4 linked regions of the Alligator mississippiensis genome follow. The protein of the gene in region 1 binds, or shares a complex with, the protein of each later gene. Links are inferred from orthologs where the notes say so. Each region holds a gene or a part of one and is shown in the gene's direction. Other genes may lie near its edges.

Region 1 (7,461 bases):
TTATTAGACCAGCGCAGATAATTGGAAAAATTATTTGTATCAATCTTCAAGTTTTAAGTTTAAGCAAGGTTTAAATACCCTTCATCAGGCTGAGGAAGCATCTGCAGTTGGTGTGTGCTCTTTCTGGATGGAATGAATAGTAAAGAAGCCAGAGCCTGGTATGCATGCAAGAAATGCAGTCAGTGAAGATGTAAATAGAGGAGTCAGTGGGTGAGAGAGAGGCTGGTGGCGAGAGGGAGAGAGGGATGCATGTAGCAGGTAAATAGTGGAGAGGTACCTGGGGAGTCAGATGTCAGGCAGGTTATAATGTGTCATAAATCCAGTGTCTATATTTAGTCCATGATTTTTTGTATCCAGGAGGTTGATCAAGTGAAGTGAAGTTCATCTGTGAAAAGTGTTTTGTAAATTCCCTTTGAGGATTAGAACTGAGAGATTGGAAAGAGAGTGGTTTTCATGTGAGAAATTTGCCCCCCACCAGTAATTGGGTATTTTTGGTTCCATCTAGGTTTCCAGTGTGCGTTCATTCTGGTGTGCAGTTGTTGTTTGGTCTCTCCTACGTATTTTCCATCAGAGCGTTTGGTGCATTGGATGAGATATATTACATTTTTGGATGTGCAGCTGTAAGATCTGGGACTGCTGGTGGCTCTGTTGTGGAGTGTAGTAAGTGTGGGGGTGGTGGAGGTGTGTTGGTAGGATTTACATTTCTTGTCATGGCATGGTCTGGATCCATTTGGTGTGGTTTGTGCCCTAGGAAGTTTGCGTTTCGTGATGAAGTTAGTGAGGTTCGGTGCTTGTTTGAAGGCTAGGATGGGTAGTTCTGGGAAGATCTCTTAAGAACAGGGTCTCCTTCTAGTATGGGTTACAATTGTTTGAAGATTTTCCATATAGGTTCGAGGGAGGGGTGATACGTCATAAGCAGTGGTGTGTGATTCGTGGGGGGTTTTCTTCTGTATTGCAGCAATTCTTCACATGGTATCTGGATAGCTGCAGCACCCAGTGGCCACAAGCTGGCTATAGGTGGGCCTGGGTGCTGCCAGGCCTGTTAGATGCCTGCAGCACCCTATGCAGCTGGATGGCATGGCCCTGGCAGCCATGCAGTGATGCAGTGCCAGGGAATAGCATTGGGGTTCAGGCAGCCTGTCCTGGGGAATGCAGTGGCCACGGGCTGCCAGGAAATGCCCCTGAGCCCCAGCATCCCTGCAGCCCCAGCGTCCCTGCAGTCCCTGGGGCTGGGACAGGCATAGAGCTGGCCCAGCCCTGGGGTAGGAGAGGCTCCCAGCCTCAGGGCCCTGGGGCTAGCCTGAGGCTGCCCCCCTTATGGTGGGGCTGACTGGGAGTAAATTTGCTCCTGGTCAGCATCTACATGTGCGCTATTGCGCAGTAACTAATTGAGAATAAATTTGCTACTTGTATTTGCAGGTAGCAAATTTGCTTGTGATTAGAGCAGTTTACTGTGCAGTAAGCATCTGTACATGTAGACACGGATGCTTAATGTGCAGTAATTTGCTCAACTGCACAGCAAAGCATCTTGTGTAGATGCACCCAGTGTTGACAATATAAGCCTTAGGCCTTATATATAAGCCTAAGGCCTTAGCCTTAGGCCTTATATATGTCTTAAGACATATACTCTAAGGAAGAGAATAGAACAGTGATTCACAAACAGGGGCCCACAGATATTAAGGGTGTTGTGCCTTATTGAAAACTGTTAGGTGTGCAAATACATGAGTCACAAGATAAACCCAGAGATTTGAAATGGGTATCCATAGTATCAGGGAGATTCTGACCTGTTATTTTCTTTCTGAGATTTTTAGAACAGAAGACTTGCTCTATTATTTTTTAGTAGTCAAAACGTTAACCTAAGAACCAGCATTTTGTGAGGGGTAATATAAAAAGATGGATAACCACTGGCTAAAATTTCCTGACAATAGGATTCGAATGAGTACTGTGAACGCACCATTTTCTTAGAGTGGCCATGACCAAAACCAGAGGATTAAATATGGAACTACAGAATTTTTCAGCTTCTCATCCTTCCTTGTAGAAAGAAGCAGTTACCCATGCTAGTCTGAAGTTTGACAGGAGGTAGGGCAGGATAGCATAACAGACTAACAACCCAACACAGCTACCTACCTCTCTAATGTGCCACCCTGCCCTTTATCCTTGTGTGTCCTCTCCTTGGCTTAGCTCTGCTTTCCATCTTCATTTGTGAAACAGAACGGTTGGAACAGCAACCACAATTTTAAAGGGAAAAAATAATCACTTTTCAAAGGGAAAAGAATAGTTTCAGTTGAATGCAAGGAAATATATATAGAGGGCTTTGGCAATGTGTCTTGAAAGGGGTAGGTATTTATCTCAGTATCAGTCAGGATGGTACCTGTGAACTGTGCTGTCTCAGGCTGTGACAGCCAGGTGCATCTGGACACTGGTAACAGCAAAGACAAGGAAAAGATCCTGATGATCGTCATGACCATTCTCTTTGAGAACCAGTGGCAGGTTTTTAATGGTATCTGGTATCATTTGATGGTCAAGGGATATCTGTGTCAAACACATCACGGGTTATTGCTAATACGAATGAGGGGATGGATTGAAACTCCCTCACACACACCAAAGTCACAAAGACAGTTAATGTCATTAAATATTACCCATCCCAGCAATTATATACCACATTAAAAACATTGTTTGAAAGTGTTTTACAGTCTGACAACTGTGCACATGTGGTAACCATGCACGGGGTCCTGTTTCTCTTCTCTCCATAGTGTTGCATTGCAACTTCTTAACCCCTTTACCCAGAGCTAACATAGGTTGCATAACTAACTGCGTGGCTTAGCCTGTGCTAACATATGCCAGCCACATATTCATGTGGCTACTATGTGCAGAATCCTCCAACTCTGCAAAGCCATAATTTGAACATTCTGCAGAGACGCTAGGTATTATTATATTACCTGCTCTTCTGTTATCATTATATTGTCACTGTGTGCCTACTGGGGCTGCTGTTATTTTGTCTTTTTTCTTTCCACTTTCTTCTCTCTTCTTCCTCTCTGTCCTTCATTGGTAGCATTTCTCTTCATTCCCCTTGTCTCACCCCTTCCTAGCTCTTCCTCCTCTACCACTATCTCACCTATATTTATCTTCTCTTGTCCTACTTAGGTACAAAATTATACTTTTGTCCCTCTAGTATATACTCTGCTACTATCTGCCTTCCACTTCTGCAGCGGGACAGAGGAGAAACAGCTAAAATATTAGTCTAACAGCTACCTATAGTGGCAGCAAACCTGTCTATAGGCCTGCCACTTGTAGCCCTGCCTGCTTCTATCTGGCTGTTTCCTGCAGCAGTGGCTGCTCACATCAGAGTATTGTACAGGTGGTGGCTGGTTTCATAAAATCACAGAAAGCTAGGGCTGGAAGGGACCTCAGGAGGTCATCTAGTCCAGCCCCCTGCTCCAAGAAGGACCAGCCCCAACTAGATCATCCCAGCCAAGGCTTTGTCTAGCCAGGCCTTAAAAGCCTCCAAGGACAGAGAGTCCTAACAATGGAAAACAATCCTTGATAAGCATTTGCACTGCCCTGACCATGGGTGACTGGTGCCTCCCGAGTCTGGGGGGGCACCAGTGGGGCACGACGGGGCGGGTAGCCAATTTCTGGGGGGCACTAGCACTCTCTGTGCCCCCTACCAGCCGGAGCGCTTGCTGTTGGGGGGGTGGGGGGGGTGCCCCCTCTACGTGTTGCCTGTGGCCCTGACTAACTGCCATTTGCCCTGACTAACTGCCGTTACTAACTGCCCCGGCTGCCCTGGTAGTTCCTTTGGGTGGCGGGGCTTTGGGGCAATGACCAATACACTTTGTGCCAAAGGAGGACAACACAGCTTTCTGCTTGTTGGGAAAGCAACAGGGACCGGCCCTGGATGGCCAGGGCCACCTGCCCTGCTGACACGGCTCTCCTTCCCCATGGCGCCCAGCTCGGAGCCGCCTGGTGCTGCCCGCGGGGAGCTGCCCCCATCTCCCTTCCTTGGTCGGGCCTAGGTGGGGCGTGATGGACTGTGTCGTTGCTCAGAAAGCCTCTGAGCTCCGGAGGTGTCCGTGTCCCCGGCGGAGGCCTGCGGCCCTCAGGCGGGGCAGTCTGGGCACCCCCGAGCAGAAGCAGGGGCACGAGGCTCCCCTGCCGCCGGGGGCATCTCCCCTCCCCGCCGCACGCAGCCCGCGGGACGCGGACACTGAGGCAGGGGCAGGGGCCGGGCCCTGCCCCCCTACCCCCTTCACACATCTCGGGGAAGCACAAGCGGAGGCAGGGACCAGCGAGGCGCCCGCATCAATCACCGCCTTGCCCCGCCCCCGGCTCTGACTGACACCCCCTCCTCCAACCCCGGCGGCCCATGCCCTGCCCGCAGCCAATGAGCGCGGAGGAGGGCGGAAGATCCCCGCTTCAAGGCTGGTTGAGCGGTGCAGGTAGGTGCGGGATGTGGAGTCGTCGCTGGGGCTGGTGCGGTCGGGAGGAAAACGGGGCAGCGCCCGGGCCGGGCGACAGGGCTGGGCTGGGGCCGCGGGTGGGCGGGCTAGGCCGGGTCGGGCTGGTGGTGGGGTGAGGCTCGCAGGGCACCCGCCGCCTGCTCCTGCCTCTGCCCCAGCCCCAGCCAGCAGCAGGCCAAGTAGCGCCCGCCGCCCGCTCCGGCAACTTTGCACGAGGAGGCGGCCGGGCTGGGGCTGGGGCTGGGGCCGGGGCCGGGCAGGGCCCGAACTTTATTTGCTCGCGGTCTGAGCCCGGTCCTGCCGCCGAGCGTCGGGTCCGGTTCGCTCCGCGCGGGCAGCGGCTGCTGGGAGCGAATTGAGCAGGCCGAGGCCGGGGGGAGGGGACAGGGGTTTGCTTCCAGCACAGCCAGAAAGTGAGTTGGGTCGGAGGAAAAGGCAGGGCGAGGGAGACCGGGAAGTTTGAAGCCCGACGTGACATGGGAGTAGGAAGGGGAGAGCCGCGGCCAGAGGAAGAGCTGTTTTGTTGCATTCGCAACAATGGGGATGGAGAAGGGAGCAGGCCAAGTGCTGGGAGCAGGGATGGGGCAGAGGGGATCCGGCACAGAGGGCTCCTCTCTGCACCAGGCCTGTGCCAAGAAACCACAGGATTGCCTCCCTGCAGATCAGGCTTTTAAAAAGTGTCTGCCTTAACGTGCTGGATTTGAAAAGGGTTTTGAGTGCTTGGCACACAGTTCCCTTGTAACTTCCCAACTGCAGTGAACCTGAATGGGGCATTTGAGTTTTTGGGGCTTTTCAGCCCTTGTGGTTTTGAATCAGGCTTTACATTTTGATGGCTTGTAAAACAAGGGGAAAAAAATTCCCCACAACAGCTAAACAATTTTCAGAAGCAAAAGAAGTTAAGAGCTGGCATTGCTGGAGCAATAGCAGCATAGGACTAAGGGCTTCATACACTACATTTGAGGAAATGAGGTAGAAAAGATGTCTGTTGTCCCTTCTTGTTTTGGCATCCCCATTTTACCCAAACATAATTAAACAAAACTATCAAATTCCAAGCTTCCAGATGAATGCTTTGCATTTAGCTTGTCTAACTTGGTCCCGATTATAGTTGGTCAAATTAAAAAAAAATATAACTAGAAAAAAGCTTTGCCAGCTATGATATCATTCTAAAACTTCCAGGAAGCACTCCAGAAAGTTGGGTTTTTTTTGGTTGTTTTAACACCTCTTTTTCCCCCCTCCTCCCCCCCAACACGTGCACACACCTTCCCCTCTTGCTCCTCACTAAAGTCTTTATCATGGTAAAAACATTTTACTTTCAAAAGTCAGATTATTAAATATGATAGGAAATTAAGTGGTTCAGGTAATACAGAGGGAAATTCAACAAATGTGGTTTTTATGAGTCTGAGGAAGTTAGGCACTCAAATCTTGATCTCCTTCACATTCTTTTGGATCCTCTACTTAAATTGTTGATCTATACCCTGTACAGATTTTTTTTTTTGTATTTTTCAATTGCTTTGGCTTAAAAGGTACTGGAATGTGTCAGTGCTCAATTTGCTGTGATTTATTGTAGAGCTCACTTGTGTACTATATTCCATATTTGTGGCAAGACATATTTTTAATCATATCCTCAAAATCTTTTTTTTTCTTGAGGCAAGTTGAATATTGTCATGTATGTTTTGTTTGTAAGCTATATTTATTTCCTCTGTCTTAATATATTCTTGTTCTAGATACCAAGTTTCCACTTCTTAAAATAAGCTAATAGTGCATGGTTGCACCTGGAAGAATTAAACTCCCTTGCTCCTCCATCCTGAGCCTTTTCTGAACCGCTGTAGACATGGATTCTTCCAAGATGGTCTGCAAGGTAGGACCTCTCATTCTTTCAAAGTTGTAGTGGCATATTTTTCTTAAAGATCTATTAAACATTCAGAACTATCTGAACTGTGAAAATCATCATGGTATTTACAGGCTCTGTTCAGGAATCAGATTGTTATTTATGTCCAGACGAAACTTAAGAAGTGGGTTCCCTTTGTAATTTCTTTATGGCAGATAATCCTAAAATAGAGATTTGGGAATGTGTCTAGAAATGTTGGGTTCTTTACAGTGTTTTTGAATTTTTTTTAACACATGCAGCTGCTTTTGTATGTGTGTGCTTGATGTTCAGCCTAATTTTCCTGGTCTTGTACCTGGAATTCCTGGTACACTGATTTGACACACCCAAAATTTTATAACTACCATAAAAATGGTCTCTTTCCCTGTTTTATACACTTTTCAAATGCTTGTATATGCCTACCGTGTTCTTTGTTGACATATTTGCTTTGAAGAAGTAGAGCATTATATACAGGCATCCCGCATCTTACGTGCATTTAACTTGCGCAAATTCAACTATACGTGGGTGGGGAGTGGGGCTTGAGTCTGCAAGTGGCGCTGCCGCTTACCTGGAGGCCCAGCCACCACCACGTTGCCAGCGGTGACTGCCTCTGCCTCCAAAACCTCCCGCCGCCGCCATGGAGCCGTGCCCAGAGCTGTGTGGCCAGCTGCCAGGTGCGGTGGTGGCCAGGTGGCACACAGCCATCCCCACCACCACCACCCTGTGCTGCACTGCTGCCGCCAGCCGCACAACTATAGGCGCGACTCTGCAGTGGTGGCGGGAGGTGTTGGAGGCAGAGGCAGTCGCCGCTGGCATGGTAATATGTGATTTCACCATACGCGATTTTCGCCTTTACGCGCTGCCTTTAGAACGTAACCCCCGCGTAAGATGTGGGATGCCTGTAAATAGCACTAATGATGTAAGGTCTACAGCTGTCTTTTGCCAATATATTTGCATTTAATTAAAACCTAAGATGAAATCATAAAAAGGTTAAGGACCCTAAAATAGGAAAGAACCAAAATCTTGCCCTTGGCTGGATTTCTTTCTTTTCTCCATTGTTTTGACATCCAGTTCTCTTTTCCTCCCCATCTAAGCTAGACAGGCCAAATTTAATTCTACTGAAGTCTGGGTCATACA
Region 2 (7,438 bases), on another chromosome or scaffold:
AGTGACAAAGCATGTCTGGGGAGCATAGGGGGAGGAGCGGGTGCCGAGCCAAACTCACAAAGGGGCCAGGACTTGACACCCCGGTGGTGGGAACAGCAGCAAGGTGCCTTCCAGGTCCTTGCTCCAGTCTCCTGCTGAGATAAACGCTGCCTAATAGTGGAAGTGAGACTTAGGAAAGGAAAAGAGGTGCTGTGCCCCAGACGGGCTCAAACTGGGGTTGTGATTTCGGATGCTTTAAAATGTACTTCAGTGTCATTATGGAACGAGATTTTTATGCAAATTAATTAAAGAAAAATGACGTGACTTGTTCTTCAACAGTCTTTTGAGGCAGCTGGGGCTGAGTTGTTTCAGTGGCCAGAGTCGGGCTGGCATGTGGGGCCGAGATCTGTGTCTTCCCTGCACCCCTACCCCCAGTATAGTTGTCTGGGTCCCACGGTGTTACCTCTTGTATTACTGGCATTCATGAGCCCATGTCATCTGGCCATACAGGCATGTGCCTAGAAATGGCTTGAGTTTTTGGGGGGGGAGGTGGCTGTGTCTGCAGCCCCTGCACGTGGCTATAGCAGGAAAGGTGCTAAAATGGAAATAACAACTAAGTAGACTCCTTGCATTTGGTCAGGCCTCTGGCTGCTCTGCTTTGCTTTGCTTTGCCTCGGCTGTGCCAGTTCGCAGGCGCTGTCTCTGGTGCATAGCGTCTGCATTGTGCGGGGCAGTTGTCCCTTTGTGCGGCATCTCGCAAAATGCACGAGCCGTGTGGCCTCTGCTGTTCCCCTGGAGTAAAGCTGGTGGAAGTCAGTGGAGTCGGCTGGTCCGACACGGGTTTGAACCTCTAGAAGACTCTGACCTGGTGCAGTTGCCCCTGGAAAGCAAGATCAGAACAAGGAACTAGAGAGTAGGCAAAAGGAGAGGGAACTTCTTCAGATCAGCCCGTGCATGCCTCAAGTTGTAGGTTCGGCGTTGTCAGGCAGCGGAGATTGTGCCGGCTAGAGAAGTCCATTGTGTCTGGCCCTGTGTGCAGGGCGCCTCCAGGAACAGCTCCCCGAGGGACTCCTGTGCCAGTGTTGGCAGCTGGTGGAGCCCTGGAGCAGGGGAATCCAAGCAGTGTTGGGCATGCTTTTTTTTTTTCTTTTCCATTTACTCGCAGAAAAACTAATGACTTCTCCCTCGTGGTTCAGATAATTTCCCAAGTTGCCACTGTATTTATTTTCTCCATATGCTCTTGTGAAATTTGACCTGTTCTGCATTACACTCTGGATTTCTTTCTTTTTAACCATAAACTGCTGCCCTCCCCCCTGCTGTCAGCACGGCTACTTTATTTCTAGACCAAAAGCTTTTTGGTCTGACTCTTCTGCCTTTTCCCTACCAAAATGTTTTTATCAGGGGAGCAGCTTGTTTTCTCACTCAGATGCAATCTTCTGTCCCGGGGCTGGATGAAGCTGACCCTTGAGATAAAAAGGTGCTGCTGTTCCTTTGTACCTGTTTTGGAAACAGAGGTACTGGTTTAAAAAATGAAAATAGCTGCATACATGTCACCTACAGCTGTGAATCTGAACCAAGGGACCAGAGTATTGCTCTTTTCTCTGGTAGAAATAGATGCATCTCATGACCACATCTTCAATAGAGAGCAAGCATTTGGCTTTACTAGCTCCCAGAGAGGCCAGCGGTAAAATGAGAATCCTAGGGTCTTTCCTCTCATTTAGTTCTTGCTCTTACCTGGTTCACAGCAGCTTTGAACTTAGATTCTTCACAGGTGGTGGCGTGTGAGGAACAAAGGGTTGGATGTTCCTGGCCTGTGTTGTGGATTCTGGTAAAGGATGGGGAGCTGCTTAGAATTTGGGATCCAAATGGTGAAACCTCCCGTCTTCCATCGGTTGACACAGTCGTGAATTAGGAAAGTGGTTTGGATCATGGGAAACCCTCACGGTGCCCAGGATGCAGCTTGGATCCGTGTGGAAGAGCAGTTTGTATTCTGAGGGCAGACCATCTCTGGTACCAGCTAAAATTGCCCCTAGGCTTTATCTTACCGCATTCTTTATCTTCATCTTACACGAGGAATTAGGACCTGATTTCTTGTGCTCTGTTACGTGCCTGGTTTGGTGCTAAGTGTGGGTGGTAGATGGGAGCTTATGGCCCAGCTGAGTGTGTGTGTGTGAAAGAAGTCTTGTTGGTGCTGACCTGCCTGGTATTCTGTGGCGACCAGAGTCTTGGAACAGAAAGTTGTCACTGTTACACAGTGATGCTCAGGTGGATTTTCCTGGTGGTGATGAAGAAGGACATGGTTTAAGTTACTGGGTGCTGGAGGGAGGGCTGTGCTGAGCTGGATTTCCTACTCTGCCCTTCTGCATGCAAGTTCCTTGCCTTGCTCAGCCAGGGGATGCTGTTGGTGCAGGCGAGGCTACTCTCACTTCCATCCAGCCTGAAACGTCCCAGACTGGAACTGGCCCAGGTGCTCTCAGAGCAGGGGCAGCCTTGACTAGATGGGGAGTAGCAGGGGTGGCTGGGAAAGCCTCAGGAGGGGGAGAGAAGGACCCACTCTCTGTACTTTCACTGCTGCCCAAGCCTCCTGCCATCATATCGGCTCATCTTATGCTCAACGGGGAGCCACCGAGTTGGTTGTGGCCCTGTCCCTGCATGTCGGTGACTTCAGAAACTTTTGTTCAGCCTCGTGAGGTGGGAGACTCGTGCCCTGAAGGGAGCTCCTGTTGTTTACCTTTGGACAGGTTGAAATACTTAAAATTTTGGACGTTTGTTTTTAAAAACAGAGATCTGACTGCTGCAAAAATTCCAGTGTCAACCCATTTTCCTTCCAGGGGCCACGTGGGGTGGGGGGAGCTTGCCCGAGGGCTTCGCTGCCACCCTGTCCAGCTGGGAGGGTGCTTGACGGCTTTTAAAGCTGTTGTTGTTGCTTCCTTGCACCCTGCGCGTTCAGGGTGGTGCCCGCATCGCAGGATGTTGAGTGGGGGGATACGCACAAGTGCTACACATGCCTCAGATCAGCCCCGAGGTTTGATTCAAATGTCACTTCTTACCCCTACGAAGCCAAAGAGCAAAATGTTGTTTTCTGATCTCGCACTCAGGGCTGCCTTGTGCTTACAAAGATCGTTTTGGGGTTCCCTGCCCTCCTGCCGCCCCTCCTCCCCATAAAAACTGCCTTCCTTTTTGCCCCCCCCCCTTACAAAATGTGACAACTCCTCAGTAAGGGCTTCTTGTGGGTTAATTAATCTGGTTCCCAGGTGTTCAGTATCTTGCTGTCAGGTATGTTTCTCTGTATTTATCCACATCAATAAAAGTGTAAAGGCAAAGGAGTCAACCGAGCATTCACCTGTGTCCATGGCTTTTCTTTCTAACTGGTCCTTGCTCAGGTGTGAGATGAGGAACGATGTAGTTGGGGCTGGTCCTGCTTGGAGGTTGGACTAGATGTGACCTCCTGCGGTCCCTTTCAGCCTTCGTTGTCCATGATTTTGTGAAGGAGAAAGGGAGTGGGGGGGCCGCTGCTGTATTCTGCCCCTCTGTTTCTTCTTGAAGGGGCTTTCCTGGCTCTCCTGGACAGGGTAGTTCCTCACCAGACCCGGTTCTTTGAACACCTGGTATGACCTAGAGCGGCGGGGGAGTCTCCAGCCTTGGAGGTTTTGAAGACCTGGTTTGACAAAGTTTTGGCTGGGATGGTCTAGCTGGGGCTGGTCCTGCTTGAAGCTGGGGTTTGGCCTTAGGGTCATCATCTATGTCAATCGATCGTGGGAGGTTTCTAAAATGCCAACGTGTCCATGGACTGGCGCATCCCCGTTACAGATGACCACTCAGCAGTCCCCTGGAGGTATATACCCACTTCCAATGCGCTGCTGGGGGTTGGCAACCCCAGGGCTAGGTGTGACCTCCTGCCCTCCCACCCCTCTCTTTTGTATGATGTAGAGATGATGGACGAGAGGCTCAGAGCGGGGTGATGAGGGAAGCCGGGGGCCGTCGCCTCCTCCCCCGGCCTGCCCAGGCAAGCAGAGCTGCCGGTTTCCCGCGACGGCACAAGCGCAGGAGAAAGGGCACCTTCTTGCCCCTGCTGCCACGGGGCCGGCAGGTGCCTCTTCCAGCGCCGCCCGGCGGCTTGGGGGACGAGGAGGGGAGTTGGGGGTTGTTTCCGTAGGGAAAGCAGCGGGTAGCCCCGAGCACCCGCCACGGGCCCAGCCCAGGCTGAGCCGCGCACCCACGTGCTGCCCCCAGGCGCCGGGCACCCACGCTACACTTCCGGGGAGTGGGCCCGGCCGGCTGAGTGACAGCCGCTCCCTCCAATGGCCGCGCAGCGGCGGCCCCCTTCCCCGCCGGGGATTGGCGGCGGGCGGGGCCAATGGGGCGGCGCGGCGAGGTAAGATGGCGGCGGCGCGGCGCGGCGGGCCCCCCCAGGCGCGCGGACAAAATGGCGGCGCCGGGGAGGGGCCGCGCGTGAGGCGGGCGGGGGGAGGGGCGGCCCCGATCCGAGCGGGCGCTCCCGCCCCACGCGTGTGCGCGCCGCCCCGCGCCGGGCCATGAACCGGATCCGGATCCACGTGCTGCCGCCGGGCCGCGGCCGCCTGTCCCCCGCGCGGGGCCCCGAGCCCGCCGCCTGCGCCTCGGCCGCCCGGGCCTGCTCGCGCCCGCGCCTCGACGGCCGCGACTTCTGCCTGCGCCACATCCTGGAGGACCGCGCTGCGCCCTTCCGCGCCTGCAGCTACGTGTCGGCCGCCACCGGCCGCCGCTGCCCCGCCGCCGCCCCCAAGCCCGACCGCAAGGATGGGTGCGTGCCGGCCCCGCCCCGCCCCGCCCCAGGGCGGCCCCCCACGGGCAACCCCCCCCCCCGCAACGCCCCCAACACCCCCCCCACAGACCCCCCCCAGCCCCCCAACACACCTCCATGGACCACCCCCACAGCACCCCCCATGGGCACCCCCCCGGACATCCCCCTGCACTGCCCCCAACATCCCCCAGCCCCTCCACGGGCACCCCCCCGGACACCCCCCCAACACCCCCCAAAGGCACCCCCATGGGCACCCCTCCCAGCACCCCACACGGACACCCCCCTCCAGCATCCCCAACACCCCCCCCAGCCCCCCAACACACCTCCATGGAGCACCCCTGCAGCACCCCCCATGGGCACCCCTCCCCGGACACCCCTGCACTGCCCCCAACACCCCCCATGGGCACCCCACACAGACACCCTTCCCCAGCATCCCCAACACCCCCCCGCAGGCCCCCATGGACACCCCCCCCAGCGTCCCATGCACCCCCCCCAACAGACACTCCCCTCAGCGCCCCCCAGCCCCTCAAGGCTTCTCCATAGACTGCCCCAATATCTACCCCTATAGATACCCTTCAGGCCCCCCCCAGATACCCTTCAACCCCTCAAGGCCCCCCCATAGACACTTCTAACCCCCCACAGCTCCTTGAGGGCCCCCCCTTAGCCTCTCAAGGTTCCCATCTCTATAGACCCCTCAAGGGTCCCCTCAGGCAGCCCTTGACCCCCCCCATAGTCCCTCAAGCCCCCCCTCAGCCCCCCTTATAGTAGACACCCCTCAAGTTCCCCCTTGAAGCCCTTGAGGTGCCCCCCATTCATAGATCTCCCCACGATAGACCCCCCAAGAGTCATCCTGCCCGTGGACCCCCACCCTGAGGTGCGCCCTGTCCACGGACACCCCCGGGGGGTTCTCCTTCATGAAGTCCTAGACTGTAGAGTCGGAAGGAACCACAATGGACGGTCGTGTCCGACCCCCTGCCCCTGGCAGGAAAGGACCGAGGTCAGACGACCCCAGCCAGGTGACTATCCAGCCTCCTCTTGAAGACCTCCAAGATGCCCCCTCAAGGTCTCCTCTGTAGCCCCCCTGTCCATAGCCCCATCAAGGGCATCCTGTCTCCATAGTCCTCCATCCCTAGACCCCCCTGAGGGTCCCCCCCATCTATAGACCCCCATAAAGTTCCCCCCCCGAGGTCCTCCCATCCATAGACCCCTTCCTCTATAGGCCCCCCCTCCATAGATGACCCCTAAGCTTCCCCCCCCAAAAATGTCAGCTCTTAGTTTTCCCTTTTTTCTCAATTGCACAGAAACACAAGGGGTGTTTTTTCCATGGCAGGGCACTCGGGCAGACCCCCGGATCCGCGTGGCCTTTAAGGCTGAGGATCCCTGCACAAAATCTCTGGGCTTCTCCCAGGAATCGTGTTGGCACGCCTCGCGGGCACGGCACCCCTGAGAAAGCTTTGCCAGGCGGCCCAGGGGGCTGGGGATCACTGGGCTTAGGCATGTTCACGGACTACAGAGATAGTAGCAGCGGTTGGAGATGTTTCCTCTGGCATCTCTAGCCCCGTAACGATGGGTAATAAATGGGGGCTAAGAGCCACGAGTCTTACCCAGGTGCCGGGAGATCCTTTCAGGGGTGCTGCTTAACCTTAGTGCTGTCTGTGCGTGTGCAGGAGTCACAAGATAAACCTGCAGGTCTAAATAGGAATCTGTGGCGTTAAAAACTGAGTTCTTTGCAATAGAGGGACAGCTCTAGTATTTTCCTGTTGCAAAAAAAATGAGCGAATGCTGGGAAAAAAAACGAGTTGGTGTTTTTCTGAGTGCCCTGCATCTAATGAGGGTGCCTCTAGTCTCAAACCGTTGAGAAGTGCTGCTCTTGATTGGTCTGGTGTGGTGCGCTCCCTCCAAAACATTTGCCCCTGCCGCTGAGAGAGAGGCTGCTGGGTAGGTGGCATTGGTCTGACCTTGGCGCTGCTTCTGTTTTTCGGGAGCTGTAATTGTCTGGGGGGAGTTACAAGTTTGTTAACCGTTGTAAAGTGTTTGGAGGTCCTTGGATGGAAAGAAGCTTGTGGTACCTGAGGCTGGTATTGATCAGGGGAACAAGACATCACCAGGCTTCGAATCACCTAGTCTCTCTGTGACTTCTGGGGTTCAAATCCCAGTTCTGATGTTGCCCTGGATCCTTTTTCCAGGAGAGGAGTTGAATTAGCTTGTGGACCCAAACCCGGCATGGTTTGAAAAGGGGCAGGCATGAGGATTTGTTGCAGTCGGCAGATCTCTCTTCCTGCAGACTTCCTAAGGTCCAGAAGAAGACCTTAGGTGTTTGAATCCTGTGCCTTCTACTTGTAAGAGTAAGGGCTTATCTCCAGGCCTCAGCACGCTACTGACTCAGGTGCAAGAGGTCTGCATTCAGCAGTCATGTATGTGGTTTGGAAATCACCTGGGACGCTTATACTGAGGAACTGCGCTGGCTATGTTCTGGGGGTGGTAGCAGGGAGGGGAGGAATTCATGCCCTTTCCAGCCATGTGGCAGTGAGTGCCCACCCGTGCATTGCTTTGCATATCTCCTTGGATGGCTGCAAACTCTCAGGGCTGTAAGCATTTTAATTTTTCCCCCCAGCGTGTCATTCTGTGCCGAGCACGCCCGGAGGAATGCCCTGGCGCTTCAAGCTCAGATGAAGA
Region 3 (7,018 bases), on another chromosome or scaffold:
CGGCAAGGCAGCAAGGCTTTGGCCTTCCCTGCCAGCAAAGCCTGTTGGGTGGCTCCCATAACCAGCTTGGCTAGAGTCAGCCCTCAGCCATCCAAGCCTGGGCAGAGCCCGGGGCTGGGCAAACGTGGGCCAGAAGATGGCAGCTTTGGCCCTGGGAAGAAGCTGAGGGCCGTGTCCCCGTTTGTCAGGGAGGCAGAGCCGCGGGAGGCTTCGCCTGGCCTAGCCAAGCCACAGGCCGTGGCACCTGGCTTTCCCACACTGCTGCCACCACCCGGCCCAGATGCCTACACAGGGACGATGCTGAGGTTTCCACTGAGCTTGGCTGGCTCCAGGGAATCATCGCCACTCACACCATCCCTCAGTCCCTTTGTCATCCCAGCCTTCCCAGGCCCTGTGATCACTGCCTCTGCCCAGGCCTCTGAGCTGTGCCGGCCACTGGCGACCAGCCTGGCACACTACCCCACATCGTATGACAGCTCACAGCGGCACCGCCTCTATCCTGTCGCCACATGGCACAGCCAGCCTGCCTATGCCTCCCCCCACGGCTTCCACCGCCCCACCAAGCTGTAGCCTCTGGCCAAGACATTCTGGGCCAGGACATAGGGGCTTGGTGTGATGTACCAGGCCACCTGGGAACATGTGATCCACCCACATAGGATCCACCATAGCTACGGATCCCACAGTCACGTGACAAAGGGCCAAGGGAAAGCATCACATGATCCGGACCTTGGGACCATGGAACTGTTGGGATCTGATGCTGTCCCCCTTGACAGGGCTCGTGTAGCAATGTGTTATGGGAAGGGGCTTTATATAAAGTCAGAGCATGTTGGAGGGGTCTCACAATCGTGCTGTGGACTTCGGTGATAAACCTGCCTGAGAGGAAGAGAGCCCCTGGGGTCTCCTGGCTCTTGGGAGCCGGTGCAGGGCAGGGGAGGGGAAGGGAAGGGGACCTGTGGCTAAATCAAGTGGAGTTGGGTATGCAAGTGTGTCTGAGTAAGCATGTGTGCGACACTGGTGAGTATGACTGTTTGAGTGTGAGATGGACTGAATGTGTACGTGTCTGTACGAGTGCACATTGTGTGACTGCGTGCTTGTCAGTGTGTGATACACTGAATATGTGTGTGTGCATGATGGACTGAATGCGGGTGTGTCTGCATATATGATAGTACATGCAAGTGTGTGATGGACTGAATGTGTCTGTGTCTGTGTGACTGTTTATGAGCATGTGATGGAGCGAACGTGCATGTGACTGCAAGGGTAGGATTGTGCATATGTATTGTGTGCATGACTGCATGTTTGAGTGTGATGGATTGAATATGCATGTATCTGTATGACTGCATGTTTGTGAGGGTGTGACAGACTGAATGTGTGGGTCTCTGTGCATGCGTGTCTGTGTGTGTGACAGGGTCAGGAACAGGCCCTTTCAAAGGAGGCGGGCGCTCCTATATCATATTGTCTGCAATATAATACACCTTGGTTTTGAAAGGCAGAGCAAAGAATAAAAGATTTTTTCTTGTACCGAGTACTGGAGTAGCAGCAACCAGGGATCCCGGCCTGCTCTGTGTTCTGCTTCTTGGGGATTGCAGCAGGTTTGGCGCTTAGTTTCACCTACCAAATGGCAGCCCTGTGCCCATGTTTCCCGCCTATTCCATGCACCCAGTTTCTAGGGGAAGGGAAAAATCCAGTGCTGCTGAGAGATTGCTACAAGTGATCAACTTTTGGGGCAGGTGTGGCCCATATTAAGCCCTGCCTCTTTCTGCTCTGGCCCTGCCCCCCCAGTAGGCTTCATGTCACAAGGGTGCAGGACTGGATACTACCATGGCTTTTGGTTCTGACAGGATCCCTTTGAGGATATGCCCATCAGGGACCTGGGCAACTAGCAGACAGTGTTAGCTCAAGAGGTGATGTGGTCCTACCACTTTTTTGCCTTGGCTTTCAGCCCATGGGTCTCCTTCTGGTCCTCTGGCATCCCACAGTGCTCTGTGCTCTCTTGTTCCAAGGGGTGTGGAGGGTGAGTAGTCACTAGGGGCCAGTGGCACAGTGCCATGAATGAGGCTTTCCTCTGTTCCTGGGAGACTGCTAAGTGTCCCGCCTTGTGGGGAAAGGCTGAAAAAACGGGGGTGATGTAGCTTGGGGAAATGAAGAGTGAGGCCAATTTGATCACCTTCAAACCCCTGAAGGATGACGACAGAGAAGATGGAGGTGGGCCGCAAGGGACAGGACTAGGAACCATGGCCTCGAGCTGCAGCAGGGGAAACTGAGGCTGGAGATGAGGCACTTTCTGACTACTGGGATCCAGCCTTGGAATGGGCTGCTGGGGGGGGAAATTTCCATTCCCCAGACGTTTTCAAGTGCAGGTTGGATGGACACTTGGATGAACTGCTTTAGGGAAGGCTGATTCTGCCTACAGCAGGGGGCTGGACTGGATGGGACCTTGTAAGGCCCCTTCCAGCCTGATCTTTTTCTAGGTCCCTACTGCATATAAACAGCTAAGGCATGTCTCAGCTGTCCACAATGGCCTTCTGGGACATGGCAAGGGGTTCTGGATGGGAGGAGAGCAGTGGGTGTGCTAGAGCTTGACTCGAGCAAGTGTGGTCAGAGTTAGACTCACAGGGCAGCCAGGCTGGACCAGCCCCATCCAACCCCTGCTGACACGTCCTTGTCTGAGCTGTTCCTAACACCACACAACACTCCAGGGACCTTGAGAGCCCCCGGCTGTGTCCCAGGTGAATCCAGGAGAGGGCTGGTGGTACCCTGCTGCTGCTGGGTGGCTTCAGTGCCCTTGAGAGACCTCAGGCAGAGACTATGCCCTTGCTGCAGAGGAAGCCAAGCCCCCCCCTCCCCCCCCCCCCCCTTTGTACCTGTGTGACTTGGTGCAGGGGTGGGCAAGATTTCTGACCTCAATGTTGCATCAATGAGACCCTGAGTGGAGGGGCAAGACCTAGCCGGAACCCTCTAGATTTGAGTCCCAGCAGAAGTACAGGCCCAGCCCAGTCACCTTCCCAGCAGAGCCCTGGGAAACGCCAAGACCCTCCCTGTATTTGCTGGGGGGACAATGCTCTTGCCCAGGCAGCCATGCAGAGCTGCCCTTGGCCACGAGGTGGCATCATGCCTCCGTGTACCCGCCCCCTGGTGGCCATGGGCAGGGCAGCTGTTGCTTCCGTGGCAGTAGCAGGGGACCAGGGGGGATCAGGGTGACAAGTTGAAGTGGGGGTGGAAGATGGGCCAGCCTGGGAGGGGGTGGCACTCGGGAGGGATTAGGGCCAGTTTGAGCAGGTGCCACTGACTCCAGCGTGGCCACGAGCTGGCAGTGCTGCGATTTGGGGGCTCTGGGGGCATCATCTCCAGGCAAGACCCTCTAGCTAGGACCCTCCAGCATTGAGTCCCAGCGAGAGCTTTGGCCAAGCCCAGTTGCCCTCCCCAGCCTGGGCCACAGCCAAGGCCCACCCAGTGCTGCTGAGGAAGAGGGAAACCCGCCATCCCTGTAGCAACAGAAGAGAGGAAAATGCCTTCCCCACCTGACATTCATAGATTCATAGATGTTAGGGTCGGAAGGGACCTCAATAGATCATCGAGTCCGACCCCCTGCATAGGCAGGAAAGAGTGCTGGGTCTAGAGGAAAGAGTGCTGGGTCTAGACATGGTGACTAGCAAGACCCAGAAGCCTGGGACACTCTCCCTCCATTGCTGGGGGACCTTGTATGCACCAGGCAGCCCCGGTGCTGTCCCGCCAAACCAGGGGCGGGCTGGGCTTTCACAGAAGGACCTGGAGCTGGCTGCCAGGGGTGGCATTTGGACATCTGGGCCTGGGTCTTGTGGGTGCTGCTGGGCCAGGCTGGGGTGGGCGCAGGCAGAGCCACGCCGCTGCCCTGGGCACTAGGTGGCAGCTCTCGTTCCCCTGCTGGCCCCGGCCCCGGCCCCGCCGCGCTCCAGGCTCCGCTCCGTGGATCCCACACTCCGGGCTTTTTGGTCGGCGCATGCGTAGCAGGCAGGAGACTCCGCTCCGGGAATTCCTCGTTCCGGGCTTTGCGGCCGGCCGGGCAGTGGCGCGTGCGCAGTAGGCGGCAAGCCCAGGCCCGAGGCGGCCGCGGGCCTTGGGCTGTGAGTAGGGTCTGACCCGGGCCGGGGCCGGGGGTCAGGGGTCACGAGGGACTGGGAGTAGGGAGCAGTGGGGAGGGCGCTGGGGTCATGGGATGCGGGGCTCATGGCTGCTGGGGCACGGGGGTGGCAGGGATCGGAGGGCCCTGGGGACAGGAGGAGCTGGGTCATGGAGACCCTTGTGGGGGAGGGGTGCTGGGGCCAGGGACGTAGCGGGGAGCAGTTTGGTGCTGTGGGCAGGGGTCACCAGCGCTGAGGGCAGGAGGTATTGGGTATGGGTATGGGTCTGGCTGGCGGAGTCAGGGTCATCATGGCGGTGGGGACGGGCCGTGGGCCACTGGGTGCTGGGAACTCCTGGGCAGCAGGGACACAGGGCGCTGCTGGGGTCTCTAGGGCCACAGGTGAAAGGGGAGAAGGGGCCAGAGCACCAGGCCCATTTCCCTGTCTGTTGCTCACCCCCTGCCTCTCCTAAGTCAGGCAGCAGGATGCGGGGCTGAAGCCCACAAAGATATGTGGGGCCGAGCCACTGAGCGCGACTTCCAGACGTCAGCCCACAGGATGGGGACCTCTCTGCTCTTCCAGCTCTCTGTCCATGAGCGTGAACTGGACCTGGTCTTCTTGGACCACAGCTACGCCAAGCCATGGACCGCCCACCCCGACGCCAGCAGTGCCCGACCCACCCGCACACTTTTTGTCACACCGCGACGGCACCAGGACGCTGCCATGTAAGCCCAGGCCTACTCCAGGCTGGGGGACACTTTCCCAGCAGGCATAAATACCCCTGTGGTTTCTGGGGCAGGGCATTGGCCAGGCCTTCATCTCCTCTGCCACTACCAAGGAGTCCTTGGTGCTTCTGGTTTTGTGTAGTTGTGGGGCGTTTAGCCGAAGAAGACAAGGCTGAGGAGTTCTCAGATATCTGAAGCGTCATTCTGCAGCAGATGGGGGTAAATTGTTCTCTGTGGCCGCAGGGACAGAGCAAAGAGCAATTATCTTAAATTATGGTAGGGGACATTGAGGTTGGAGATAAGGAACTTTCTGACCACAAGGGGGTCTGTCTCCGGAACAGGCTGCCCAGAGAGGCAAGGAATCTCAGCTCATGGTCCCCCTACTTTACCTGGAGCTGGTTCAGGTGTGATGTCTTGTGTGGTGTCAAGGTTGACAGCAGTTTTATGAAGAGTTTAGATCATAGATTTGTTGAGGATGGTTTGGACAGGGCTGATCCTGCCTCAGGCTGGGGGTTGGACTAAGTATGATATCCAGAGGTCCCTTTTAGCCCAACTGCTCTGTAAGTTCTATGATCTGTTGTAATGGGATAGTTTAGTAAGGCCTATTTGTTGTACTGAAGGGATGGTCAACCAAGACCTGCCAAAGAAAACTATGAGCCTCCCTCCATGAAGGAGGCCACTGAGGACACAATAGCTAATTACAGGGGGCAAAAAATGAAGAAGCAGAGGTGGGAGTGAAGTCGTAGCTTATTAATGAGGGATCTAAAAGGGGCCGCTAAGCAGAGGACACCAGCCAGTGGTCACTGCCCCCCAGGTGAGTCTCAGGAGCCTGGGATGCCTACCTGGCTGGGGTCGAGCCTGGTTTTCTTCCTGCCCAGGCAGGGGGTCGGACCTGAAGATCTGCATGGTCTCTTCTGACCGTACTTCTATGATTCTATGAAAGGGCTTGGGTGTGAAGGACCCATTGTCTTCGGGGGCGGGGGGGTTTGCCCTGTACAGGGCGTTGCCCTGTAGCCTGAACAGAGCAAAAAATTAGGAAAGCAATTTTTGTATTAAAGATACAGTGAGGGTGACATAGCCACTATGGTCCAAAATTATGTGAGAAACAAGGATTTCTTAGGGTGATGGCTTTTGTTGCACCAGTGATGTGCTCGACACCCAAAAGAGGTGCCTCACAATTTACAGGTCTCTCTGCAATTCTTTCCCTTCTCTTTGTTACACCTGACATCTAAAGCTAAGTAATTGGGAGAGAGCACCCTTAAGAGATCGAAGAAAAACATGAGAACAAAGCTCTAAGAATCGGTATGGAATGCAGTGGCTCTCAACCGTGTTGGACTCCAGGTTCCCTTTGGATCATCTTTCACTTGCTTCTCAACTTCAGAAAAGTACTAGAGCAATTCTTCCATTGCAGAGAACTTAGAATAGCCACAGCAGAGCAGGCAGGTTTGGACACACTGGATTCCTACTGGAAGTCTTTGGGTTTCTCTTGGCGGTCACATGGAGGTGTTTGCTCACCTGACCATGCTAATAGTGCCCTGCACCCTTAAAAGGAAAGCACAGGCCCCTGGTTGAGAAGCACTGGAACATGCGTAAGAGCCAAGCCTCCCTCCTCCTTAGTAGATTTCAATCTCATTGTAAAAGAGATCTTTACAAATCTGGGTTCTTCAAGTTACGTGTGTTTGAACGAGGTCTCTGGTAGCTGAGCTTGGAACAGGTGAATCAGCCTGTTCGATTTTACTGCCTCTTTCTAGTCAGTGTCTGTCACTGGCTTCTCCTGGGTTACCTATGCAATGGGCAGTTGCTTCCCACAGGGGAAGGGATCTTTTTGGTGTGGATCCCTTTGTTCTAGGACTCATGATTCTCCCTGTCTCATTTGCCTTTATTGTTTAGCTTCTGTTCTCTCCGTTACTCTCTAACCTTTACCTCTCTGGCATATGGGAGATTGGTGTGTGGGGATTAAAACAAAATCTGAGAGACAGTATTTTGTCAATGAAGGGTGTTTCAGTTGGGTTCTGCAGGGGTCAGTACTAGACTTGGAGTAATATAAGGATAATACTTTGGTTTTTGATATATTTATCACCCAATAAATTCAGATGAGAAAGTAAGGACGGCTTTTTGGTAGCAAGGGCCAGTAAGTACTATATCACTTACTTCCCTGGGGAAGTTTGCTGGATCCTCTGTGTCATCAGACCAGAT
Region 4 (6,859 bases), on another chromosome or scaffold:
TTCTGGCCTTCTGTCAGGGCTGGAAAGAGAACGGGATGGATGCCAGATGAGAGCAGAGCCCTGGGATTGCCAAGATGCTGGTGAAGAAACTCTGGGCAGCAGAAAACAGGTGGAATTTCCCCTTGGGAGCCTGGAGAGGCCCTGATAATTTAAATGCCACCACAGAGCCTGCAATGGCGGGGAGCAGGAGGGAGCACCGGCGAGAAGCATAGCTAGATTAATGCACGGGCCAGTTGAGCACGAGCCCAGGGGCCCCTACCAATTAGGGCCCCGGGATCCTCATCAGCAGGGAAGTGAAAGCCGCAGTTTTAAACTCTGCGCCTATCTTTGGAGCCAAGTTTAAAACTGTGGCTTTCACATTTCTTCCCTGGGATCTGGAAGTGGGGCCCCTGTGACAATGGGGCTGTGGGGAGGGTCCGGTAGGGCTGGGGTTGGGCTGAGAGCGCCGTGCCGCGCCTGCGGGAGGGGTGGGTTAAGTGGCACCATGTCGAGGAGAGAGGGGGCCGAGACAGGCTGGGAGAGTTGTGCCCCACCTAGCGAGGGGGGTGGTTGGGGCTGGGCCGGGCTAGAAGTGCTGCACTGCACCTCTGTGGGCGGTAGTGCTGGGAAGACCTTGGTGGCTATAGCCCCACAAAATTCATCTTGGCCCCCCCACAGCCACCCCTCCCAGTGCCACCGCCTGCCTGCAGAGGCATGGCGTGGCGCTCCTGGCCTAGCCCAGTGGGCCCTCTGCATCTGCGGGGCTGCACAGGACATCCCAGCAGCAGCTCCCTGCAGGTCTGTGTAACCTGGGCTGGGCGGGGAGGGAGACTGAGCTGCAGGCAGCTTGTGGCAGGGGAGGGAAGGGTGGTGGAGGGGAGGGGAGGGGAGGGGGGACAGAGGGCTGCCTCCATGTGATCAGGAGTGAGGGGAAAGTGTGTGTGTGTGTGTGTGTGTGTGTGTCTGTCTGTCTATGTGTGTGTGTGTGTCCATGTGCAGAGAGGGCAGAGTGCACATGCCTGTGTGTGTCTGTGTACACCTGTGTGTGCACATTTGGCTGTAGTGGGGGCAGGAAGAAGAGGCGAGCATGTGCCCTCCAGCTTGGCAGGGTCCACCTAGCCTCTCCCACCAGCACTAGGAGAGGAAGGGGCCCCTCCCCCCTGCAACCCAGCTCCCATGGTGGGAAGGGGCCTCCAATTTTGTGATTGTTCAGGGCGCCAGTATACCTTAATTTGCCTCTGGCAAGGAGACATACCAAGAGAATTGGCAATCATGGGAGCTGGCAAGGCTCCAGGTCTTCTTGGTTCAGTTACTTTTACTTTCATTTACACTGCCACGGAGTCTGGGAGGCTGGGCTGCCACCACCTGAAAGAGGCGAAGAGAAAGGCAGTGCTGGCCCTGTGCCAGAAGCACATGGGTAAGTGAACCGACTCCAACACTCACAAGGAGCTGAGTCTATAAGGGTGGGTGGGCTGGCCTGTTGCGCCTGGGGAGCTGGCAGGTGCTGCTGAAGCCTTGATGACAGATGGTGAAGCATCCAAGGCTGAGAAATGCCTAAGATGTAGATGAAAAGGATCAGGGAGACTGACATATTTCTTTTTGTGTTCCTTTTATTTGTGAGGGCTGGGCACCTAGGAATGAACTGCAGCCCTAAGGACCGAATTACCTCATGGTTAGTGGCCTCCAGCCACAATGACCCTAGGGGCTGAGACTTACCTGAGTTCTGTTTCCCTGTTTTGTGTTGTCCTTCATTTCTCTTCTGTGTATCAAGCTGTGACCAAATGATTTGAAGGCTGGCTCAGCTGCAGTCCCCTTAAGCCAGGCTTGGGACAAATGCAGGCACACAGGAGCAAAGAATGGAAGAAGATAGCTCACTGAGAGCACAACATACACTGTAACAATGGGGTGGTGCTTGGAGTGGGTATAAGGGAGGTAGAAACCCCAAGGAAGAAACAGAACCAGCATATCTAGGACTTCATGCAGCAAAAATAGAGCACCTCCTGACAAAGGCATATTCAACACTAAGATGTGGCAGGTAAGAATTGGGTGACCTCCGCTGAGTGCTAGAAGTGGGTGAGTCTGTGTCCTCATGGCCCAGTCTCACAGGATGCAAGGGGCTGCAGCCTTACTTACACTGTGCTGACAATAGGCACCAGAACCAATTATCTAAAAAGGCTGAGTAATCTCTCTGTCATTGCAGGTTTTTACGGCTACAAGCAGATGTCACATTTGTCTTGGAAGAAAACATATTCCCCCAGGACCAAGTGTTCAAATTGTACTTGTCCCCCAGGACCAAGTACAATTGTCTTTGTCAGTTGTCATGGGACAACACCCCAGAAAAGATTTGTGGAATAAGTATTGTTTGTTCCAAAATATCATGACAGATGTCTGAACAGTTGTCCCAGGACATCATCCTGGGACAAGCTGGCCAGCTGGTCCTCCAAGCATCCTACAACATGGTGGTTCAGCTTAGTTCCCAACCCTCTTGAACGTGAAGCCACTATTGCCCTGATTACAGAACTCTGCTGCCCAGAGGTGACAGATGAGGGTGGCAACCTGGGGTCTATTAATGGGTCTGCATGGAGATATACCAGTGGTTTCATCCTTGCATCCACCCAAGATCAGCACTGAAGCCTACATCCACTCAACCAACAGCAAACTGTCTTCTCACCAGGGATCTCCAGCCACCTAACTATCCAGCACCAAGGAGGTCACTGGATCTAGCTACCACCCAGGGGCAAGTGCATCCTGTACAACCACATGCCCTTCAGCTTGCCTCCACTGTGCCCCAGCATGAAAGAGCAGGGTAGCAGCTAGCTGCAACTGGGAGAAGACAGAGGCTCTCAGAGCCATCTGGGGGCCTCGGGTCAGGCTGTGGATTGGATGCCACCAGGGGATAAACCAAAGTTCCCAGAAGGAACCTATTTAATAAGAAGACCCCAGGGTGGGTAATGCTAGTGCTTCTCTGTTTAGTGCCTTGATGCGTTGCATAGTTTCCCTCACAGCAAGCCTGGCTCCTTGACCCAGAGGCTTGTGTTCCCAGGATACAAAGATGCCCTAGGGCTGATGACCAGGGGTGGGAGGGGTGGTGCTGAGCGCACTGCAGGGGCTGTACTGGGCAACACTAGTGGCAATGTGTAGGAGGTGCATGAGGGTGCATGTGTACCCCCTGAGCATGGCGGTGCACCCCCTGCCAAAAGGGCCGCTGACAGTGCCTGCGGGCGGTTGCCGGTCATCACCCCCCTCCCCCCTTGCTTTTGTCTGCCGGCGGTCCCTGATCACCGCTGGCTGCTGCTGACACTGTTGGTGGCATCTGTGGGTGGTTGCCAACTGGCAGTTGGCACTTGCTACTCCCCCACCTATGCTGTGGCTGCCTGTGGGAGCTCCCTGCTTGTCGCTGCCACGCTCCTGCCACCTGCAGGAGCTCACCACACCCTCCCCAGCCTCTGGGGGCATGTGGCACTCATGGGTAGTGCCCAACAGTGTTGCCAGGTCTTAACTGTGAAATGATTGTATTGAAAGCTAAAAACTATCATATTTGCTGAAAAACTATCATACATTGAAAAATATGCAAATAAGGCTTCTTCTTATTTACTTTATATTACTCTCTGTAAGTGCCAGCAAGTGGGTGAAACTGGGTCATTAAAGTTGAAGCATTTCTTTATTTTGAGACAAGCAATAATAAGAAAGTGCTGATAAACCCAGAAGTCAGTTAAAGCTCCCTGAGAGTGACTTAGGTTTTGCATACGCTGTACCAATTAGCTGCCTCAAAAATTATCGTACATTTTGGACACTTTTACAATTGCTCATCCTACGTTCTACGAGGTTGAAGTTCTCGAACAAATGGTCTCACCTCCATACGCCCGCCCCGCCCGCAGGCTCCGGCGCCTCCCTTCACCTCGCGATCACCCTGCGGTCCCGCCCCCGAGACCCGCCTCGCTCGCTAGCCCGCGGGGAGCCGGGAGGCCGCAGCCGTGGCGGCCATTTTGTTGCGTTGCTTGGCCGGTGGCGCGGGCGTGTGTCCGGGTGCCCTTGTCTCTGCAGTTTGTCCCGTGCAGATTCCTCGGGAAGGAGCCGGCAGCACCCAGGCCTCGTCAAGCCCCTTTCCGGGGCCGCCTGCGGGCGGGGGAGGCAGGCCGAGCCCAATCCCGACCCGCACGCACCGCCCCCACAAAGTGGGGAGGGGAGGACTGGACCGGGCCGGGCGCCGTTCGTGGCCTCCCTGACTGCGGCGGCGGCCCGTGCGCGGGGCCGGGTCGCTCGGAGCTGCCGCGCGGACAGGTGAGTCTGTACGGCCCGAGCGCAGGCGGCGGCGAGACTGGGGCCCGGCCTCGCCGGACGCCCCCGCAGAGCCCGCGCTGCTGCGGCTCCTTCACATGGCCCCTGCGAGCGCGGGAGGCGGCGCGGCCGCGCTGCGGCTGGGAGCTCCCGCTGCCCTGTTGCTGCCGGGGCCGCTCCCTGCCTCCCGAGCCCGGCGGCTGCCGAGCAGCAGCGAGGGGCGAGAGCGGCGCGGCGGGTCCGACTGCGGCGACGCAGGAGCCGTAGCGGCTAGTGGCACAAAGACTTTTCCCCCTCTTCTGGGGTGACGTCAGCGGGAAGGGGTGTTTTGGGGGCAAAATGGAGCCTGTTTGGAAAGTTTGTAAACCGGCCTGTGCTTTTGCAGTTAAGTGCAGAGGAGGAGGGCGGCAAAAGCAAGCTAAGACACGCCCCGCGTTTCCGCTGAGCAGGATTTTTATGAGAACGGGTCTTCTAGTGGCAAAATCCCGAACTGGTGCCTTCCCCTGGCTCATTTAACTTTCCTTACACTGCCTTTGTCAAAGAACCTAGCTATGCATCGCAGCAGCTACCTGTGGCCCCTTGGCAGAGTGGACCAGTACACCAAGTTCTAGTTTCTAGAACAGTGGGTTTCAACCTTTTTTTTCATTTGCAGACCCCTTTGAATTTTAAGTGTGGGTATTTTTGATTCATCATAATCATCTTTTGCAGGCCCCTTAGACATAGATTGCAGACTCCTAGGGGTCTGGAAACCACAGGTTGAAAACTGCTGTTCTAGAAGGCTTGAATAAATTAAATTGCAACCAAAAACGAGTTGGATTACAGAACAAAAAGGGCATTCAGGAAAATTTAATCTGCTCAAGCAAGGCATCCTAATTAGTAATGTAGGTAGGCTAGTTAAGAATTGAAGCAGATTGGCAGTAGTGTCTGATACAAGGTATCTCTGAACCAAGAGTTCTAGAGAGGTTTGTTTTTTGTGGGTTTTTTTGGAAAAAAAATATTTAGAAAGCAGTATGCATCTTTTAATTTAGCTTTGAATAATTAACTTCTCACTTTGGAAAACCATGGAAAAATTCCTCTGCCCTTGATTTATTCTGATTCCAGATTTTTAAAGAAACTTTAACTAAAATTATAACACGTTTTTCAAGCACACTTCCATTATTGGTAGAGTGGATAAATTAAATCAAGATGGATTGTAATTTACATTTTTGAAACATCCATGTGATATGGAATTTTAGGTAGTGTGTGATATTGTGCAGTACACCAAAAAATTGCAGCTCTATTTGAAGCTAAGTATTTTGTCATTTTACTTAATTGAAACTTACCAAGTTTGAAGTTAGACTTAATGGCTGCTTTCAGACATGTCTGAACAACAACAATCCCTCCCCCCCCAATGCTTTACTGGAAGCAGTAGCGCATTATTACGACCTGGCCGCTGCAGGATCTGTATAGATAAGGCGCTTTAGCAGGGCTTTGTCGCTTTTATCTAAAGCTGATTCAATTGGCTATTAGGTAGAAGCCGCAACAAGTCACAGTAAAGCGCCCAATCTATAGATGCTGCAGAGCTGGGTTGAATTAATGCGAGGCCTCTTCTAGGCATGTGCTGGGCTCAGTGCAGGAGTGCACTAAGTTTAAAGTGTGTGTCTTGGGGTTTTTTTTGCTTTTTTTTCTATATCTGCAAGCAGCCAGTGTTCTTTTCCTGTTACTTGTCTGTTAGTGTTTTTTTCTCAATGGAAATGAGACTGTTTACCTTAATCATTTTGAGAGTAAATTATTCCAGGTTGTAAATCTTCATTTGTGAATAAGTATGGATTCATTATTACACACGTGTCTGAATGCAGGCAGTAACTGTGATAATAGAAGTCTTGCGCTATACCAAATGCCCATTTTTCTTTGTCCTGATCAGGTTCTCTGTGTTCTTTCCCTGAAAACACTTCTTACTCTAGTTCTCTCAGTTCCTTGTTGATCTCTTAAATATTTGTATTTGACATAAATGAGAACTTGTTAGATTTCTTGAACTTGTGATTCCCAGGAATAAAGTAGTAATTTTGAATACAAAACAAGATGACATGGACTATATAGTTTGGAATACACAAACTTTATGGATTGCCATTAGATCTGTAGGCTTCATTCTATAAAATGAGGGTTCATAGCTGTCTGCTTGGTGGAAGTGTGTGGGGAAGCAAGCATATTGCAGGGGCGATGATGAGTCTTCAGTCTTACCTCCAGTTATTCACGGTCTTTGTAAGGGGGTGGTACACACCTTTCTGGGCCAAACGTGCTTCTCCAGCAAAATATATGATCTGTATTTCAAGTCACCAACACAATTTATTACGTAAGTACTAGTAGCAAATGAGTGAAAATACTAGTTTTAGGATGCTATCTTCCTTTGAGGGGAAGGTGGTGGGGGGGGGAGGAAGTGGCCCGCCCACACCCAGTGCCCTGCGTGGTAGCTGCTTGCAGCCTGTGTGGGGCTGCCTGTGCTTGCTCCGAACAGCCCCATGCATGCTGCAAGCAGCTGCAGCGTGAGGTACTGGCTGTGGGGCCGGGGGAGGGGCTGCCCCCCCCCCCCTGCACTCAGCTTTTCCCTGGGCTCCTTCCCTGC

Evidence for each region.
Region 2: KANSL1 (region 1) and KANSL2 share a complex: the UniProt entries of both Homo sapiens proteins name them as parts of the NSL complex. The link is inferred for Alligator mississippiensis from reciprocal best matches to the Homo sapiens genes KANSL1 and KANSL2.
Region 3: KANSL1 (region 1) and KANSL3 share a complex: the UniProt entries of both Homo sapiens proteins name them as parts of the NSL complex. The link is inferred for Alligator mississippiensis from reciprocal best matches to the Homo sapiens genes KANSL1 and KANSL3.
Region 4: KANSL1 (region 1) and PHF20 share a complex: the UniProt entries of both Homo sapiens proteins name them as parts of the NSL complex. The link is inferred for Alligator mississippiensis from reciprocal best matches to the Homo sapiens genes KANSL1 and PHF20.

The regions. Positions count from the first base shown.
Region 1 is NC_081827.1:158,971,407-158,978,867, forward strand, and holds the start of KANSL1 (KAT8 regulatory NSL complex subunit 1), read left to right. Parts: upstream 1-4,457; 5' UTR 4,458-4,473; intron 4,474-4,584; exon of another isoform or gene 4,585-6,184; 5' UTR 6,185-6,318; intron 6,319-7,461. UniProt on the Homo sapiens protein: Non-catalytic component of the NSL histone acetyltransferase complex, a multiprotein complex that mediates histone H4 acetylation at 'Lys-5'- and 'Lys-8' (H4K5ac and H4K8ac) at transcription start sites and promotes transcription initiation.
Region 2 is NC_081838.1:6,530,235-6,537,672, reverse strand, and holds the start of KANSL2 (KAT8 regulatory NSL complex subunit 2), read left to right. Parts: upstream 1-4,430; 5' UTR 4,431-4,514; coding exon 4,515-4,762; intron 4,763-7,376; coding exon 7,377-7,438. UniProt on the Homo sapiens protein: Non-catalytic component of the NSL histone acetyltransferase complex, a multiprotein complex that mediates histone H4 acetylation at 'Lys-5'- and 'Lys-8' (H4K5ac and H4K8ac) at transcription start sites and promotes transcription initiation.
Region 3 is NC_081830.1:10,566,600-10,573,617, reverse strand, and holds the start of KANSL3 (KAT8 regulatory NSL complex subunit 3), read left to right. Parts: upstream 1-4,016; 5' UTR 4,017-4,100; intron 4,101-4,570; exon of another isoform or gene 4,571-4,574; 5' UTR 4,575-4,607; coding exon 4,608-4,822; intron 4,823-7,018. Other genes in the region: ARID5A (AT-rich interactive domain-containing protein 5A), read left to right, coding at 1-570. UniProt on the Homo sapiens protein: Non-catalytic component of the NSL histone acetyltransferase complex, a multiprotein complex that mediates histone H4 acetylation at 'Lys-5'- and 'Lys-8' (H4K5ac and H4K8ac) at transcription start sites and promotes transcription initiation.
Region 4 is NC_081832.1:36,719,422-36,726,280, reverse strand, and holds the start of PHF20 (PHD finger protein 20), read left to right. Parts: upstream 1-3,849; 5' UTR 3,850-4,260; intron 4,261-6,859. UniProt on the Homo sapiens protein: Methyllysine-binding protein, component of the MOF histone acetyltransferase protein complex.